2 linked regions of the Rhinolophus ferrumequinum genome follow. The protein of the gene in region 2 interacts with the protein of the main gene of each other region in a pairwise test. Links are inferred from orthologs where the notes say so. Each region holds a gene or a part of one and is shown on either strand. Other genes may lie near its edges.

What was found.
Region 1: the proteins of CTNNAL1 (region 2) and RNF135 interact in binary tests that used the Homo sapiens proteins (3 or more experiments, as listed by UniProt). The two-hybrid records come from large-scale screens. The link is inferred for Rhinolophus ferrumequinum from reciprocal best matches to the Homo sapiens genes CTNNAL1 and RNF135.

Annotation. Positions count from the first base shown.
Region 1 is NC_046304.1:20,583,923-20,592,076, reverse strand, and holds the start of RNF135 (E3 ubiquitin-protein ligase RNF135), read right to left. Parts: upstream 3,874-8,154; 5' UTR 3,802-3,873; coding exon 3,460-3,801; intron 1-3,459.
Region 2 is NC_046295.1:62,086,608-62,094,845, forward strand, and holds the start of CTNNAL1 (alpha-catulin), read right to left. Parts: upstream 3,354-8,238; 5' UTR 3,268-3,353; coding exon 3,127-3,267; intron 1-3,126. UniProt on the Homo sapiens protein: May modulate the Rho pathway signaling by providing a scaffold for the Lbc Rho guanine nucleotide exchange factor (ARHGEF1).

The sequences.
Region 1 (8,154 bases), on a different chromosome or scaffold from region 2:
CACACAATGTGATTTATAGATGGCGTATTACAGAACTGTACACCTGAAATCTATGTAACTGTACTAACAATTGTCAGCCCAATAAATTTGAATTTAAAAGAAAAAACACACATTCAGAAGAGAGCGCTAAACAACTCCACTTAAAGAGCTTACTCTGCTCAGCTGCCTGGTTGGGAGTGGGAGTAAGTTTTGCAGGCAGGCAACATATTCTGGCAACAACCTCAAGACCTGGTGACAGTCCTCAGAGGCAGGCTGGGCACGGGCCTCAATGGAAAACTTTGCATTACCTCCAACAGGGGTTCTACATAGAGTCACAGAAATATAAGGTGTTCATCATTGAACTCTAAGTAAACCAGAGCTTTTATAACTTGGCTTTGACATTTTTCATTATTTTAAATTTTCCTGGAACCTCAAAAACTGGAATTGACCCAGGACCTTTTTCATTTCTTAAGAAGCCCTGGTGTCCCTCAAATTGTATGTGTTTTGGAAGACATAACCAGGCTATTTCAGAGAGGGAGGTGGCTGACCGCTGGTAACATTGTTTGCTCTTAAATTTCAAGGCCCTTCTCCTAAAATTCAAGCAGCTGGAACTCTGGAATGGAGGCCTTCTCCAGGCGTCTGAGCAAATCAAAAACTTAAAAAAAATAATTACATTGCTTTTTCTATCCATAAGAGAGATGCACACTTATTTGAATTTAGAACATGCAGAGAATTGAAAAGAAGAAATGTTTCAAATCATCCAATATCCCACCAGCCAAAGACCATCATTTTAATGTAAAAGCCAATGGGACATATAGTCGGTCACTATAAACTACATTAATAAAGAATTTTAAGGACCTGAAGGATAATGCTGCATTTATAATCTAAGAGAACAAGCTTTACTCATAATTGAAAAAAAAAAAAATAGAAGCAACCAGCATGTCCATCAAAAGGTGAAGAAATAGGGTGACAGCCTGGAGATTTGGCAGTGAGTGGTGCAGGGGAAGGCATCTGTCTCAGGTATAAGGTCCACTCTATGCGATGAAATATTATTCAGCAATACAAAGAAATGAGCTATCGAGCCACAAATCTTAATTTTGCTTAGTGAAAGAAGCCAGTCTGAAAAGGCCTGATACTCTATGATTCCAACTATGAGCATATGACATTCTGGCAAAGACAACACTAAAGAGACAGCAAAAAGATCAGTGGTTGCCAGGGTTTGGAGTGAGGGGTACAAACAAGAGAAGCACAGGATTTTCAGGGCACTAAAACTGTATGATACCATAATTGTAGATACATAACCTCATGCATTTGTCAAAGCCATAGAACCATACAACACAAAGAGTTAACCCTACCTACGTAAATGAAAACTAGGATTTTAGTAAATAATAATGTATTAATATTGGTTCATCAATTGTAACAAATGCACCACACTAATACAAGACATTAATAATATGGGGAACGTGAGGGGTGTGTGAGGACTTTCTGGAGCACCTCTTCAATTTTCTGTAAATCTAGGGCTGCTCTAAGAAATAAAATCTGTTAGTTAAGTTTTTTTAAAAAAAGAGGACGGGGCGGCCGATTAGCTCAGTAGGTTAGAGCGCGGTGTTCTTAACAACAAGGTTGTTGGTTCGATCCCCACGTGGGCCACTGTGAGCTGTGCCCTCCACAGCTAGATTGAAGACAACTACTTGACTTGGAGCTGATGGGTCCTGGAAAAACACACTTAAAAATTTTTAAAAAAGTAACTGAGGTTTAAAAGATTAAGAAACTAATCACAAAAACCATAGTTACTTAAAATAAATAAATAAATAAGAGGACATAACCTGCCTATACAACATGACCTCAACTCTATTTAAAAGGACTGCAGAGACTAGCAATCGGGTGTAGTGGGCTACTCTAAGCTCTCATCCCCGCACCCCACCCCCCTCACCCCCCCACCTCCGCCACACACACACAGAAACACTGAAAAACAAGCAGAAACAATCAGAACCAACTTTGCCAGAACTCTGGAAAACACTGAATCAAAAAAGAGCAACCTGGCATTAGGAAAGTTTCGTGGTGTTTTTATTTGGCCATCCCCACTCCCTCAGTATTCACGAATCCTGGAACCCTTGTCCTGGTTCTGGAAGGTGCAGAGCAGACCTTTTTCAGAAATTGTCCTGTATGTCTGTTCAAACCTGGCTAGGGGCTGCCTGAAGGAATGGCACAGTGTGCTCATCTTTGTTTCACCTAACTCAGGCAAACGCTGCAAGCTGAACTAAACTACCATAGCGGATGTTTGGGACAAAAGATTCTAGTTGAAAGACACAATAAACCACCTAAGTCCCACAAGAAAAAGCCAGGGAAAACTGGAACCGTCTAACTTTGTTGATGGGAATGTAAAATGATGTAGTTGCTGTGGAATATAGTTTGGCTGTTTCTCAGGTTAAACGTATAATTACACTAACGGCCCAGCAAATTCAGTCCTAGGTATTCACCCAGAAGAACTGAGAATAGGGACTCAGATACTTGTACACCAACGTTCACTGCAATAATACGCACAATCATCAAAAGGCGGAAACAATCCAAATGTCCACTGATGTATGAATGGATTAAAAAAAAAGTGGTATATACATGCAAGGGAATATTATTCAGCCACAAAAAGGAATGATGTTCCAATGCATGGTACAACATGGATGAACCTTGAAAACATTATGGTAAGTGAAAGAAGCCAGACACAAATTGCACTTACATGAAACATCTAGAGTAGACAAATTCAGAGAGACAGAAAGATTAGAGGCAGGGAGGGCTGCAAGGAGGGAGAATGAGAAGTTACTGCTTAGTGGGTAGTTTCTGTTTGTGGTGATGAAGTTTTGGAAATAGACAGTAATGATGGCTGCACAACATTGTGGATATAATAAAGGCATTAAATTGTACACTTAATGGTTAACATGGCAAGTTTTGTTATATGTATTTTACCACAATTAAAAAATCCAGACAACCAAAATGCTCATCAAAAGATTACTGGATAAAGAAACAGTGGTCCATATATACAATGGAGTATTACTCTGCCTTAAAAAAAAGAATGAAATTTTACCTTGTGCAAGGATATTATGCAAAGTGAAATAAGTCAGACGAAGAAAGACAAATACCATACGGTCTCACTTATATGTGGAATCTAAAGAACAGAACAAACGAAGTAACAAAACAGAAAAAAAATTGCCAGAGACACAGACAGCAGAAAGACTGCAAAGAAATGGAAATATGCCAAGGTGTATAGCAGCTAAATTGAAAGGATTTCAGGAGATTTGGACTTTTTTCTGCTTCTTCATACTCTTCTGAACTTTCCAAAGAGCGGGTTCTACTTTTAGATGGAGAAAAGTAATGTGAAAGTAGGAAGGATGAGGGAGGGAGGAAGATCCATGGGGGAAAGCGGTGCAGGAAGCGTGGGCAGATAGTGGTAACGGAGAGACGGGAACCCGGACCCGCCTACCCTACCTTCTGCAGCCCGGTGCGGCGCGCGGGTCGCGGGGAGGGGCCGGGGCTCCGGGTCGGGCCCGGGCCGCCCTCCAGCTCGCCCACCGCCCGGCTGTACTTGTCCGCCAGGTCCTGCAGCAGCGTGTTCTTCCGCAGCTCCAGCTGCTGCTCGGAGCCCTCGCGGCAAGTGGGGCAGGACCAGTGGCGCCCTGCGCCCCACAGGTCCTTCAAGCAGTCCCGACAGAAGCTGTGGCCGCAGGGCAGCGTAACGGGCCAGGCGAGCAGGCCCTGACAGATGATGCAGCCCAGGTCGTCCTCGGCCAGCCACACCGGCACCGTGAGTCCGATGTCCAGACCCGCCATTGTGACCAGGCCGCCGTCCGGAAGCAGGGCCACAGTGGGGACCGCCCGCCCGCGCTACGTCTCCTCCGGCTCCTCCCTTGCTCCTCCCTTGCTCTTCCTCTCCCCTCCTCCTTTGCTGCCTCTTCCTCTACTCGTAGCGATCCAAGCTTTTTTCCTTTCTCGGGTCCCGCTGAAAGCCGAGAGTCTCCACCGCCCAGCCTGCAGCGCCCTCTGGCTAGAGCGAGTCCTCACCACCGCCTCCTGCGCTGGGAAATCAGCTCGCCCCAAGCCTTAGGAAGCCCGCTGATGCCCGAAGATTTTCTCTAGCTTGATGTCCCCCCATTAAAATGCAACCCTGACAGCTCTTGGGAGAAGAAACAACAGAGAATTCGATTCCAGAACTCTTTCAAGAGGATGTGCCGACTCACCTGAAATCTATGTAATTTTACTAACAATTGTCACCCCAATAAATAAAAAAAAAAAAGAAGGAATTTAAAAAAGGAAAAAAAAATATTGAATTTTCTGGTTCCATCTTACTGGTCAGGTATTCTTTTTTCAGCCCTTTATCTTGATCCAAAAAAGAAGGGGCTTGTATTCAAAATACTTTATGAAAATCATCTAAAGCTGACTGGACATATAATCTTTGTCAATCTGTATTTCAATCTTGACCCCATTTCAACCTCACAAGGGACCGTAATAAATGGCAGAGCCAGGAGTGCCTGGTAGCCAAGTCCAAAAAAAAAAAAAAGAGGATGTGCCGACTAAGTATCATCCAGCCCCTCTAACAAGCAGTAGGGATTCAAGAATACCCAGCGCACAAAGCTGGGAAACTCTTTTAAAATACCAATGTTCGGTCTCCGCTGCCAGAGTCTGATTTCTTTGTCTGCGGTGCATCGCGGACTCAGGATTTTTGAAAAACCTCCCCCAGGTGATTCGAACGCGCAAAACTGAGTAACTCTAGACTTTTAAAATCGCTATTATAATGTGGTATCTCCTTACTGCTCTCTGCTGGCTGAAAGCAGTACTGCTGTCTGCTGGCTGAAAGCACGTTAACACAACAGGCTTCGGGACGAAAATACTAGACAGTGGGGGTTTTTTGTAGCTAGCACATCTGGTCCTGGTTGGGCTTGCTTTCTTCCTTCGCTCTTACTCCGGTCCTAAGCTCATTACATCCAGAAAACGTTGCAACTGGAAGAGCACAAGTCCTCCCCAAAGATCCAAAGAGGCAAAGGAACTTCCAGACTTACAGAGCAATAACTGAGTGGCAGAGACCAGAACCCATCTCTGATCTTTTGAAATGAACTAACAATGTCTTATATTTTATTTTGCCCCGGTCTTATCCAGTCTCAAAGTAGGTACCAGATAATACAAACGTGTGGCAATTTGCAATACTGGAAATGACAGGTAGTAGTCAATAGAATTTACCTATTCGCGCTGCTCATCGAAGTTTCCCTTTCTAGGCACCTGGTAGGATTGGCACTTCTCTGAGCCACTGGAAACACACAGAAGTAACACTTGTTAACTTCCTACCAGCTTAAAAAAACTTAGTCATTGTATCTCTGCCATCTGCCCTGACTACAGAGATGAAGCCATCATCTGGGGGCCTGAGTAGTTGAGTGGCTAAGATGAGCAGATCACCTGCCAACCCACACTGATGTGTAGTAAAGGAGAGAAATACACGAGATATGTTCAGGTCACTGAGATATAGTGGGTGCTTGCTGCTGCAGCATAATATAGCCTATCCTGACTGAGGTACAGTTGATCCTTGAACAACTCAGGGGTTAGGGGTGCCAGCCTCTGCACAGTCAAAAAATCCACATGTAACTTTTGACTCCCCCAACACTTAGTTGTCTCTCAGTATCCACGGGTGGGGGAACTGGTTCCAGGACCCCCTCTACTACAAAAATCCACTCAAGTGCTCAAGTGCCCTATTGTAGATCAATGCATACAGCCAGCCTCTGCATCTGTGGAGTCCCAGGATCGTACATGTATAAGTAGATGCCCACAGTTCAAACCTGTGTTGTTCAAGGGTCAACTGTATTACCTGGATTTTGTTGCGGAGTCTCCTCATCTGGCGTAAACTCATAGCTTCTCTGATCCTCTCTTTTCTGAAAAATAGGAATAACCCAACACACGAGCTCAAATTTCCCATCTTAAAGAATGCAGTCTCCTTTGATAAAAGCCTCCCTTTAGGTACCTCTCCTTTTCTTCTCCATTACACACCCAAGTATTTTGAGAGGGTGGATTAACCAGTGGTCTTCAGACATTTTTCTTGGGCACCTCCTAAAAGTTTTAGGCAAAAACATGCAGTGATTACAAGAAAAGGAGAAAGGGTGGAAGTATTCAACCCTAGCTGTAAAAATACTTGAACTAGGGCTGCTGGTTGGTTCAGTTGGTTAGAGCACGGTGCTCTTAACACTAAGGTTGCCGGTTCAGTCCCCACATGGGCCAGTGTGAGCTGTGCCCTCCACAACTAGAATGAAACAACTATTTGACTTGGAGCTGATGGCTTGTGGAAAAACACAAATAAATAAAAGTTTAAAAAAATAATACTTGAACAAGTTTTTCATTTACATCGGAAATTGTATCATTCTTTCATCTTCTTGAACTTGTATTTCCATTCCAATTTATCCACAGAACTATATTCTATAGTAATATATGTGCATGAAAGCCTTTTATCAGTTTCTAATCACTTTTATCACTTTGTAATAATTCTCGGCCACAAAAATATGCATACGAGGTCTGACAATTATGTTAGCGAACTTGTTGCAATGATGTTGTAAACTTTTTTGATATCAGAAATCATAATTCACAAATTATTTTTCACAAATTATTATTCACAAATTATTATGAATTTGTACCAACTGGACAAATAGTTAACCAAGTTTTCTATTTGGAAGTGCTGAAAAGGCTGCGTGAAAAAGTTAGATGAAAACAACCTGAACTTTTTGCCAACAATTCATGGTTCTTGCATCACGACAACGTACCAGCTCACATGGCACTGTCTGGCAGGGAGTTTTTAGCCAGTAAACAAATAACTGTATTGGAACACCCTCCGCACTCACCTGATCTGGTCCCCAAAGACTTCTTTCTTTACCCAAAGATAAAGGAAATATTGAAAGTAAGACATTTTGATGATATTCAGGACATCAAGGGTAGTATGATGACAGCTGTGATGGCCATTCCAGAAAGAGTTCCAAAATTGCTTTGAGGGGTGGCTGGTTCACTCCATGGTTAGAGTACAGTGCTCATAACACCAGGGTCGCTGGTTCGATTCTCACATGGACCAGTGAGAAACAACTGCTTGAGCTTGCAACTGAATCGCTGGGCTCAGTGGTTAGAGTGCAGTGCTCCTAACACCATCGCCGGTTTGATTTCCACATGGGCCAGTGAGCTGCACCCTCCACAACTAAATTGAAAACAACAACTTGACATAGAGTTGATGGATCCTGGAAAAACACTGTTCCCAAATATTCCCCAATTAAAAAAATAATTTTAAAAATAATTTTTTAAAAAATTGCTTTGAAGGGTGGACTAGGTGCTGGCGTTGGTGCATAGCTTCCCAAGGGAAGTACTTCGAAGTTGACCATAGTGATACTCAGCAATGAGGTATGTAGCACTTTTTCTAGGATGAATTCACGAACTTAATTGCCATACCTTGTATATCATTTTCTTCTGGCTGCTTTCAAGATATTTCTTTTTTCTCCAATTGGAATTGTTTATTCTTTTAAAAATATTTTTAAATTTTTCCAATTACATTGACATACAATATTAGTTTCAGGTGTGCAATATAGTGATTAGATATTTAATAATTTATGAAATGATCATCCTAATAAGTCTAGTACCTATCTAATACCATAGTTATTACAATATTGTTGACTGTATTCCCTATGCTGTTCTTTACATCCCTGTGACTGTTTTTATAACTGACAGTTTGTACAAGATTTTATCTTTATCTTTGTTTCAGCAGATTGACAACAATGAATGTGGATGTGGTTTTCTCTGTATATATCCTACTTGGAGTTTACTGAGCTTCTTGAGTCTCTACACGTCTTTCACCAAACTTGGAAACAGTTCAATCAATATATCTTCAAATATTTTTTTCTGCCTCAATAGTTCTCTCTTCTCTTTCTGAGACCAATTACATGTAAATTAGAGCTTTTGATATTGTCCTACAGGTCACTGAGACTTTTTCACTTCTTCATTCCCTTTTTTCCCTGTTTTTTAAATTGGATAATTTCCATTGCTCTATTACTGTCTTCAAGTCACTGATACCCAATCATCTCCAATTTACTGTTGGGCTGAGTTTTTTTTTTTTTTCACATACTGTATTTTTTCAGTCCTAGAGTTTCATTTGGTTCTTTGTCATAATTT
Region 2 (8,238 bases):
AACGCTCCTAATTTTTATAATTTATTTGTAAACTCTTGAGTTTTCTATGTAGATAATTATATCACAATAAGAGTCTTAATTTCTCCTTTCCTATCTTTCCACTTTCACTTCTCCCTGTCTTGTTGCACTGGCTAGGATTTCCAGTACAGTGTGGAATAGAAGACGTGATAGCAGGCATCCTTGTTTCTGGTTTTAAAGGAAATGTTTGTTTTAAATGTGACTTGCTGCCATGATATTTACTGTAGGTTTTCTCTAGATATACTGTATCAGGTTAAAGAAGTTTTCTTCTGTGACACTAGTTTGCTAACTGCTATTTATCATGATTCGAAGTTGAATTTAATTGAATGATTTTTCTGTACCTATTAGCTAGAAAACACATATTTCAAATGTAGAAAATTGTATACATGTGTCTAATATTGACTCAACCTTGCATTCCTAGAATAAAGCCGGTAGTACCCATAACTTTTTACTTGGAGAGTCAGAAGAGGTTAGATGGTATTAGAGTAGAAACGACCTGATTAAAACTCAGTCAACTGTACGTACAGTGCCAGTCCTATTTGCTCACCTCATGACCCCGTCTCCTCGATGGCATCCTTCCGACGGCTCCAGGCCTTCTCTGAGCTTTTAGAGAACATCTCATGTTCATTTGACACTTGGCATGTGCTATTATTCTACCCATGTCCTGTCTCCCAACTAGAATACAAGTCCCTCCAAGAGCAGCAATTAGTAAGCACACAACTGCTTTCTTAAAATGCTTTAAATAATCTTGTGGATAAGAGGGTGAAGCATGACTTGGATAATAATGGATAATCCGCAGAAAAAGAGACTACTGAATACGAGTTTCTAGAAAGCTGCAGTTTTAATCCACTGACATTCACTGAAACTTAAAAACAGCATTCTTAATTGTACTCCACACTTTCCTGCTTTGTTAACAGTTATTCTGGCCATGCTACATTTTTCGACTGGAAGCATAATTTAACTTTTCCCTGTTGAGTACAGTCAATCATTAGAAATATCAATTATGGTATTGTGCTAAAGGTATTGCTGTGGGTACATAACGAGTGGGATGCAGAACCTCAGCTATAGCCTTGAATGAGTCATTAACAGGGAGGAAAAAGAACTGGCATTTTCCCCCTTTGGCATTGACCTCTAGTTAACTCAGCCGCGATTCACACATTCCTCCTCCACTCCTTACTCCCTCCAGCCTCTTTCCCCCCAGAATTACACAACAGAGCTGTAGGACTGATACATTTTTAGCAGTGGGACTGTGAAAAACTATCATTTCTCCAGATTACAACAACCTTCCAGCTTGTTTTTCCATTGTGGATCTGTTCTCTGTACCTCCTACAAGCTGACCTCTTCACTGCGTCCAATCTCTAGAAAGGACACAGCACATGGTGCAGCTAAGGGCATATACTCTGTAGCCAGGTTGCCTGCGTTCAAATCCCAGTTTGACATTTATAGTTGAAAGTGCCATGACAAGTTATTTAACCTCACTGCCCCTCAGTATTCTCATCTACATAATGAGAATAAACATCTATCTACCTCATAGGACAGTTACGAGAACTAAATGAGTTAATATTTATAAAGTGCTTAGAACATGGCCTGGTGCACAATGTTAAACAAATGAATACTGTCAAGTTGAACTCCACTGCGCTCTGATCTTTGTGTCTCTTGAAACTACTCCAGTAGTTTTGGTTGCAGTTGTACTGGTGGTGAAGGTGGTATTCTTTTGGGGGAGGCGACACAGCATACATTACTAACTGATCCTAGCCCTCCTTCCCACTGGTCAGGGCCTCTGTCAGACATGGAAGGGAAGGCGGAGGGGACTAGTCAGATGTTTTCATTCACTATTCTGTTAGCCAGTCTAAAATGAGCACATGTGAAGAAAATGGAGCTGTTTATTTAATTGAGCATAACAGGAATCTAGGGACATGTGTGACTACCGTTTTCAAATATTTGCAGGGCTGGGATGGAGAAGAGACAGCATGTAAAATTGTTTGGACCAGCTCCGGGATCCCTATCACTGAACATGTTTAAGCAAGGGACCGGTGACCAGGTGTGGAGGATGCTGTAAGAAAAGAATTTTTTAATTTAGAATCAGATAACCTTTAAGATTCCTTCTACCTCTAAAATCTGGGCAAACTGTGAGTCATGAAGACGTTGCCATCTAGTCGTGAGTCACACGTCGCCAACGCTCCTCAAGGCACAAGATTCTTCACTCCCTCCAGCGAGCGCTTGGCACAGAACAACAGATCTAGGTGAGGAATTCTAGCCTTCGGGCTGTGTATAAGCCGGCTCACCGTAACAAAAACTTTTCTAAAACTACGCGCGTCAATTAGCTGATTGCAGACTTCTGGTATGACCAACAACTACAATGAAGCATATTATCCCACATGAGATTTGGCAAAAAGATGTGCGTCCGGATGAACTATCAGACAGTCCTTCACTTCCCTCTTCCCAGGCGGGACAAAAGCCGACTGAAGCGAGCAGGCAGGTTAAGGGGAAGGGGCAGCGTGGCCCGGGGTGAATGGGAGCCTGGCGAGCCGACACACACGCAGGGGAAAGGCACAAAGGCCTGCGGGAGAGCACGCTGGACTTGGAGGCCAGTAGGAATGCCCCAGCCAGAGTGGCCACCAGTACGGCTTTGGGCTGGGGATGCAAACGTGTGCCCGCAGTGGGTTAAAGAGCGGCAACTAGCAGGGCCAGCGAGGGCCCCGCAGGGACCCTCTCTGCCCGTGGGAAGCTAGGCTTGGCGGCCCACCAGCGGTGGGGGCCTCGCGGGGCCGGGGCCGCCGGAACTGCAGCCCCAAGGCGGGTCCTATGGGGCAGGCCGGGCAGCGCACCTGCCGGCGGGGCACTCAGGTCTCCAACGGGGCTCCCCGCCCCGCAGCCTCCCCTGCAGGTCATCCCACTCGGCCTCGCCGCCGAATTTCGGAGGGTCCCGACTCCCTCCGCCTCCGCCTCCGCCAGTCCCCAAGCCCAGACAGGCGGTCCGGCCCCGAAGTCGCAGTACCAGTGCGGAATGTGGGGCAGCGGCTGCCTCCGGCCCGGGCCCAGCCGCGCGAGCAGCCACCGCCATCGCGGTCCGAGGGAGACAAGGGGCCGGGCTGGGCGCTACTTTACCTGAGAAACCAGCGGGAGCAGCGTCTGCTCCACCGAGCGCGTTTTGATCTCGAGTCCTGAGTCCAAGGCGAAGCCGGACGACCCCGAGCCTTGCACTGCGCCGGCGCCACCGATGCCGGCGGGGCCCGGAGAGGAGGCCATGGCCCTCCGCCGGTCGCGCTGCCCAGGCGCCAGGCCACTGCGGGCCCGCCGCCTGCCAGCCAGCCCGCCTGCAGCGCGATGCACCCGCGCCTCCCGAGGCCCCGCCCCCAACCCGGCCCGCCCCCGGGATAGCCCCACCCCCGGCCTGCTTGGCAGCAGCCGAGCCCCGCCTCCGGAACGGCCCCGCCTGTGCCACGCCCCCACACGTTTTTGTCCAGGGTCCACCTTGCAGCCTGCCCCCTACCCAGGGCCCCGCCCCGTCTCCCTCTCTCGCCGCTCGTGGGACCCCTCTTCTGTGGACCTCACACGCGTCTCACCCCACTAGAACATAGAAGACACCTGAGGGCTTTCCGCCTCCACGTGGCCTCTTACCACGACAAGGACACCGTCTCCGGCAAAGCTTCCAGTCCTTCTGATAGGTGACTCGTCCTAACTCCTATTCCCGCGAAAATTTCTGGAAGCTGCGCTGGGAGTTGCAACTAACTGGTAGAACAGAACCAGAGTCCGGTCTGTAGGGAGGGGATTTTACCCAGCGACAGGAATTCTACCTGTAATAGTCTCTCTGGGGGCCCGTTTTCCTCCACGCTGCTCCTTTTCTGACTGCATCTTTCTCACAAACACTTTAAACTGGACTGAAGAGGAAATATTTGGTAATGTAATTAAGGAGTATCTAGGTACTCAGCAAGAAGATAATGGTTTGGGTATCTTTCAGGCTACTGTTCAGAATTATTCCTGAAAACGAAATTAAAGAGCATATGGAAAAGCTTCACCTACTGTTCAATACTATTAACTTTTTAAAACTACTTTTCAAAATTACTTTTCCCCTGTTGCCTACTACAGAAGAGTTTAACAGATCTGTTCAGTTACTGAAAAGATTATTCATGGGTGTATACTTCTGACTAAATTCACTTAAGAGTAAGGCTAAAAGACAGAACCCCTGCGTGACTGGGATGGGAGAGCTGAACACTTCTTACCCTAAGGATTCCAGGAGCAAAGCCAAAAGGAGGTTGTCAGAAAGTACACACTTTCTTAAGGAGTCTAGGCTTAAGCAATAGACTGAGAAGCATGAAGAAATATTTTGTAAACTAGCACATATGGTATCTGCCGATGAGAAACTATTAGAGTAGAAAAGACTCTGAGGCTGGCTAGCACAGCCTTACACCTTGGCCAGAATAATTTCTCCATCCATAATGTCAGATTGATGAGCTGCAGACCGCCAACTCAAGGTGTCAGCACGCTCTTTTCCAAGCAGTGTTGAAATGTGGTTCGCGGTACTTCCGCTATGGGGTCAGTTCCACCTGCCAGTGCTGCACGGATATCTTTGGTATTGAGTACAGCCATAGCTTAGGCTTGTTTTGTTCATTCAAAATATGCAGTTCCTTTCTACAACTTTTTTTCCCCTCTGATTATTACTTCCCAGCCGCCCACCTCACCATATCCTTTTCTACCACAAGGCCACCTTATCCTGTGCACTGAGGGCCCCAGCTTCAGCCTGGGACCCTTTCACGTTGTTAAGGTGAAAGCCCAGCATTCACTCCCAAAACACATCTTCCCTTATGTAAGTTGCCCATATTTCATAAACATTCAGTGTAGGCACTGGAGCCAAAGGGAAAGATGTCAGGCCTAGCAGACAGATGGTTACATCTGTAAAAGTCTGACTTCACTCAAGATCAAATTTCTCAGCAGAAATCAGACTAAAGTGACCACCTGATTCATTCAACACCAGTCATTTTATTTCAAAATATAAATATTTTACATTTACAAAGAAGTTACATCGGGAGGTTGTCAAAGCAAGTTAGAGCTAAGAAACAGCATTTGTGTGAGAATAAAGATGTATTATTGTATTTGAATAATCTTTTTTACTTTCAAACCATCTCTACTTTGCCTAAGAATGCAGAGATGATACATTTTCCAAAATTACATAAGCAATCACAACAATATATCCAATCTTGGTTTCAAAATCAAATGGTATTTGAAATACACTCCAGTCCCCTAAAGAAGTGGCGCTGCAAAGGACAAAAGAAGGATTTTCTTTGGGATAGCTATAATAGGAGTTACACTTTCTGGGTCTGCAATAACAAAGAAATAGTGTTGATAATAAACCAAAATGATGTTACTTTAAGATTTGTATCCACACCTTTCATTGTAAAATATAAAGCTGGAAGAAAAAATAAGAAACCTGGTGTAGTAGTAAATAACTCTGGACTTGGAGTCAGAAATTCTGAAACTGAATTCTGGCTCCATTATTTTGTGGTATAAACTTAAGGGGAAAAAAGATTACAAAAAAACTTTCTGAGGCCGCCAGTGTCTCTGATAATGTTGAACACCGGCCTATCTCACAGGGTTGTTACGAAAGCAGTCTGAATAAAGTGCCATACAAAAGCGTTATTAAAATGTAATATCAATTATCCTCACTGTATCTGCACATTAATTGATCCTTGAAAAACTTTGACAACTAAACACAAATACTGATTTTACACACCATAGGTGGAAAAGAATCTCTATACTTTGCGTATAGCTCTGAACAGCAATTATGTTTTCTTTCTAATATCTCACTAAACTTTGAGATTTATTACAGTTACATGGTACGATGGTAACAAATTGACCGTTCAGAATTTCCATTAAGGATGTCTTCTAAAACAGCTGTAAACTTACTTGAGAGCCTTGTTTCCCAAAGGACCAGTGGCACTTTGAGATGCTCTAAGAAAACAAGATGGGGGCGCAGTTTAAGGTCGAGTAAGTCTAAGTAAACATCTCCTCTTAAGCTAAAGAAAGAAAATAAACTCAGCGTGCCTCAATTTTAATTGACCATGGCGTCCCCTCGTCCCCCCCACACGTTTGTTCCCTTATAACCTCTAATAACAACCCTTTGAACTATGGCTATAAGGAACGTATTTTCCCAAAAGCTACTCATCTACGAGGAAAAGGGAAGCAAAGTAGAAAAACGGACTGAGAAAAAAGAAGTATATGCTATTCTGAATTGTTACTAACTGGCTCTCTGTTAAAAAAGCCACTTTAACCTGTGGGTTTCTCTAGAAAATGACAGAATCACCTAATTACATAAGGCCCATTCTAGCACAGAATTTCTAAGACTCTAGTAGACAGGTAGTTTAAAAATGATTAAGAGAACTGTCAATCAAGTCTATCAAAAAATAACTGCTCGGTGGTTTCAGATAGTATGCACTTTTCGAAGGTCCTCTAAAATGTAATAAAATGAATATATTTTGATGGCAAAATATGTAAAGGCAAGAAATTAATAAAAACAAAAGTACTTGTTGTGAACTGGCACTAGCATTTGGAAAGCATTTGGAAGTGTGTTGTCAGAGGCTATTTCCACTGTGAAATGCCTACTGTAGTACTCTTGTAAGGGTCTCGGAAGACCCTTAGAGGAGACTACAGGACAGGACCAGAACACGGGAAGTTCTGACGGGGTTTTTCCTTGTAAACCTGAGGTTGAAAGCTCCAAATCGCTCACCAAAATTACTTTGCTCTAATCTAACCCTTCATGGCCTGAATTTCAGAGTATTTCTTGCCCAGCAGTGACACATCCTGAAGTGCTAAATACAAAGGAAGTGACAACTAGTGGTACTAGGAAGTCCTGAAGGGTCACAATCTGCTCATATTAAGACCAAGGTCAGCTGCAGGACCTCATCTGCAAGCCCTGTAGCAGCCCCTTTTAACTGGAATGAACAGCTGCTATTTCCAAGGGCTACTGGGTTTTGTAAATACAGTATCTCCATAACACTTCTTGGGTGTCCTCCCACTCACTGTCCAGCGTCAGTCTACACCAGTCTCACCCTGCCAACTAACCACCTCCAATGGAAGAGGGTGGTAGGATTCCTTGCAAATTGAAAACTAAATAAGTATCTAAGGCAGTGTGACAGAGATCACATCCAGGAACAGACGGTGTGACAGGTATTTCGGAACTGAAGCAGGACTTATATGACATGGAAAGAGGAGCACATCTGTGTGGAGAGCTTTTATCTCCTCCACCCATTCCCCCATTTGGTTTACAACTGAGTAGTGAATGTGAAGTCAAAACTAATCTTTTAATAAAGCTGTAAAATGCAAGACACTGTGAAAGGATTTCTGTCCTCAGTTTTGACTGAAGCTACTTCTTCATCAATCCATTTTCTGTTCCTAGTGAAATTTCCTCTTTCTGGGTCAAATACTAATTAACAATCTGAGGATGGGTCATCTTTGAGACCTGAGCTCCTACCTCTTCATACCACTTGATCTCTATGCCCTGTGGAATTCTGTAAAACCTCACTGGATCTGAGGGGGCATGTTTCTGAGGGTTCGAGCTGACCGGCCTTCCCAGGCTTTATGCAGTTGCTGGAGCACCGGGGCAAGTGCAGGTTTCCTAACAGGACTGTGGGAACATATCTGTTCCTGATATTTCAGGATGATATTACATCACTGCTAATTTTGGTAGCTCGAAACTATTCTTAGGGCTCAGCATTTCCCCTCTAAGAACCTGGTGTTCATACTAATAATTATAACCCGCAATAGCCATACATTAGCTCAAGTTCAGGTTTTTGCAACCACTTTAAACAGCTAAAAGCATTTTGGAAGAACACAGTTTGTATATGCACCCTAGCTCATTGTATGTAATGTTTGCCTCTTACGAATACGTGCTAATTACAGCTATAAACTTACTAGTATACAAGTAATAAAAACTAACTTGATTTCTTTTTTAACCCTTTTAAAGCAAAAGTTTTCAATGTAGCAATACACATGATCTGGCTAAGATTTAAGGTAAGAGAAGGCCTTCTTAGGAGTTAACCCCTACAGCACCTTGTACAGTGCCTGGCATGGAACCTAGAGTTTGGCAAACTGTCAACAAATGTTTCATTGAATGAATGATTAAAAAACCGACTGAAGAATGAGTTACTTAATGGCCAAATGTAACACTGAGTATTATATCAAATTATAATTGTTGAAGGATTCCTAGTAAAAATAAGAAATCTG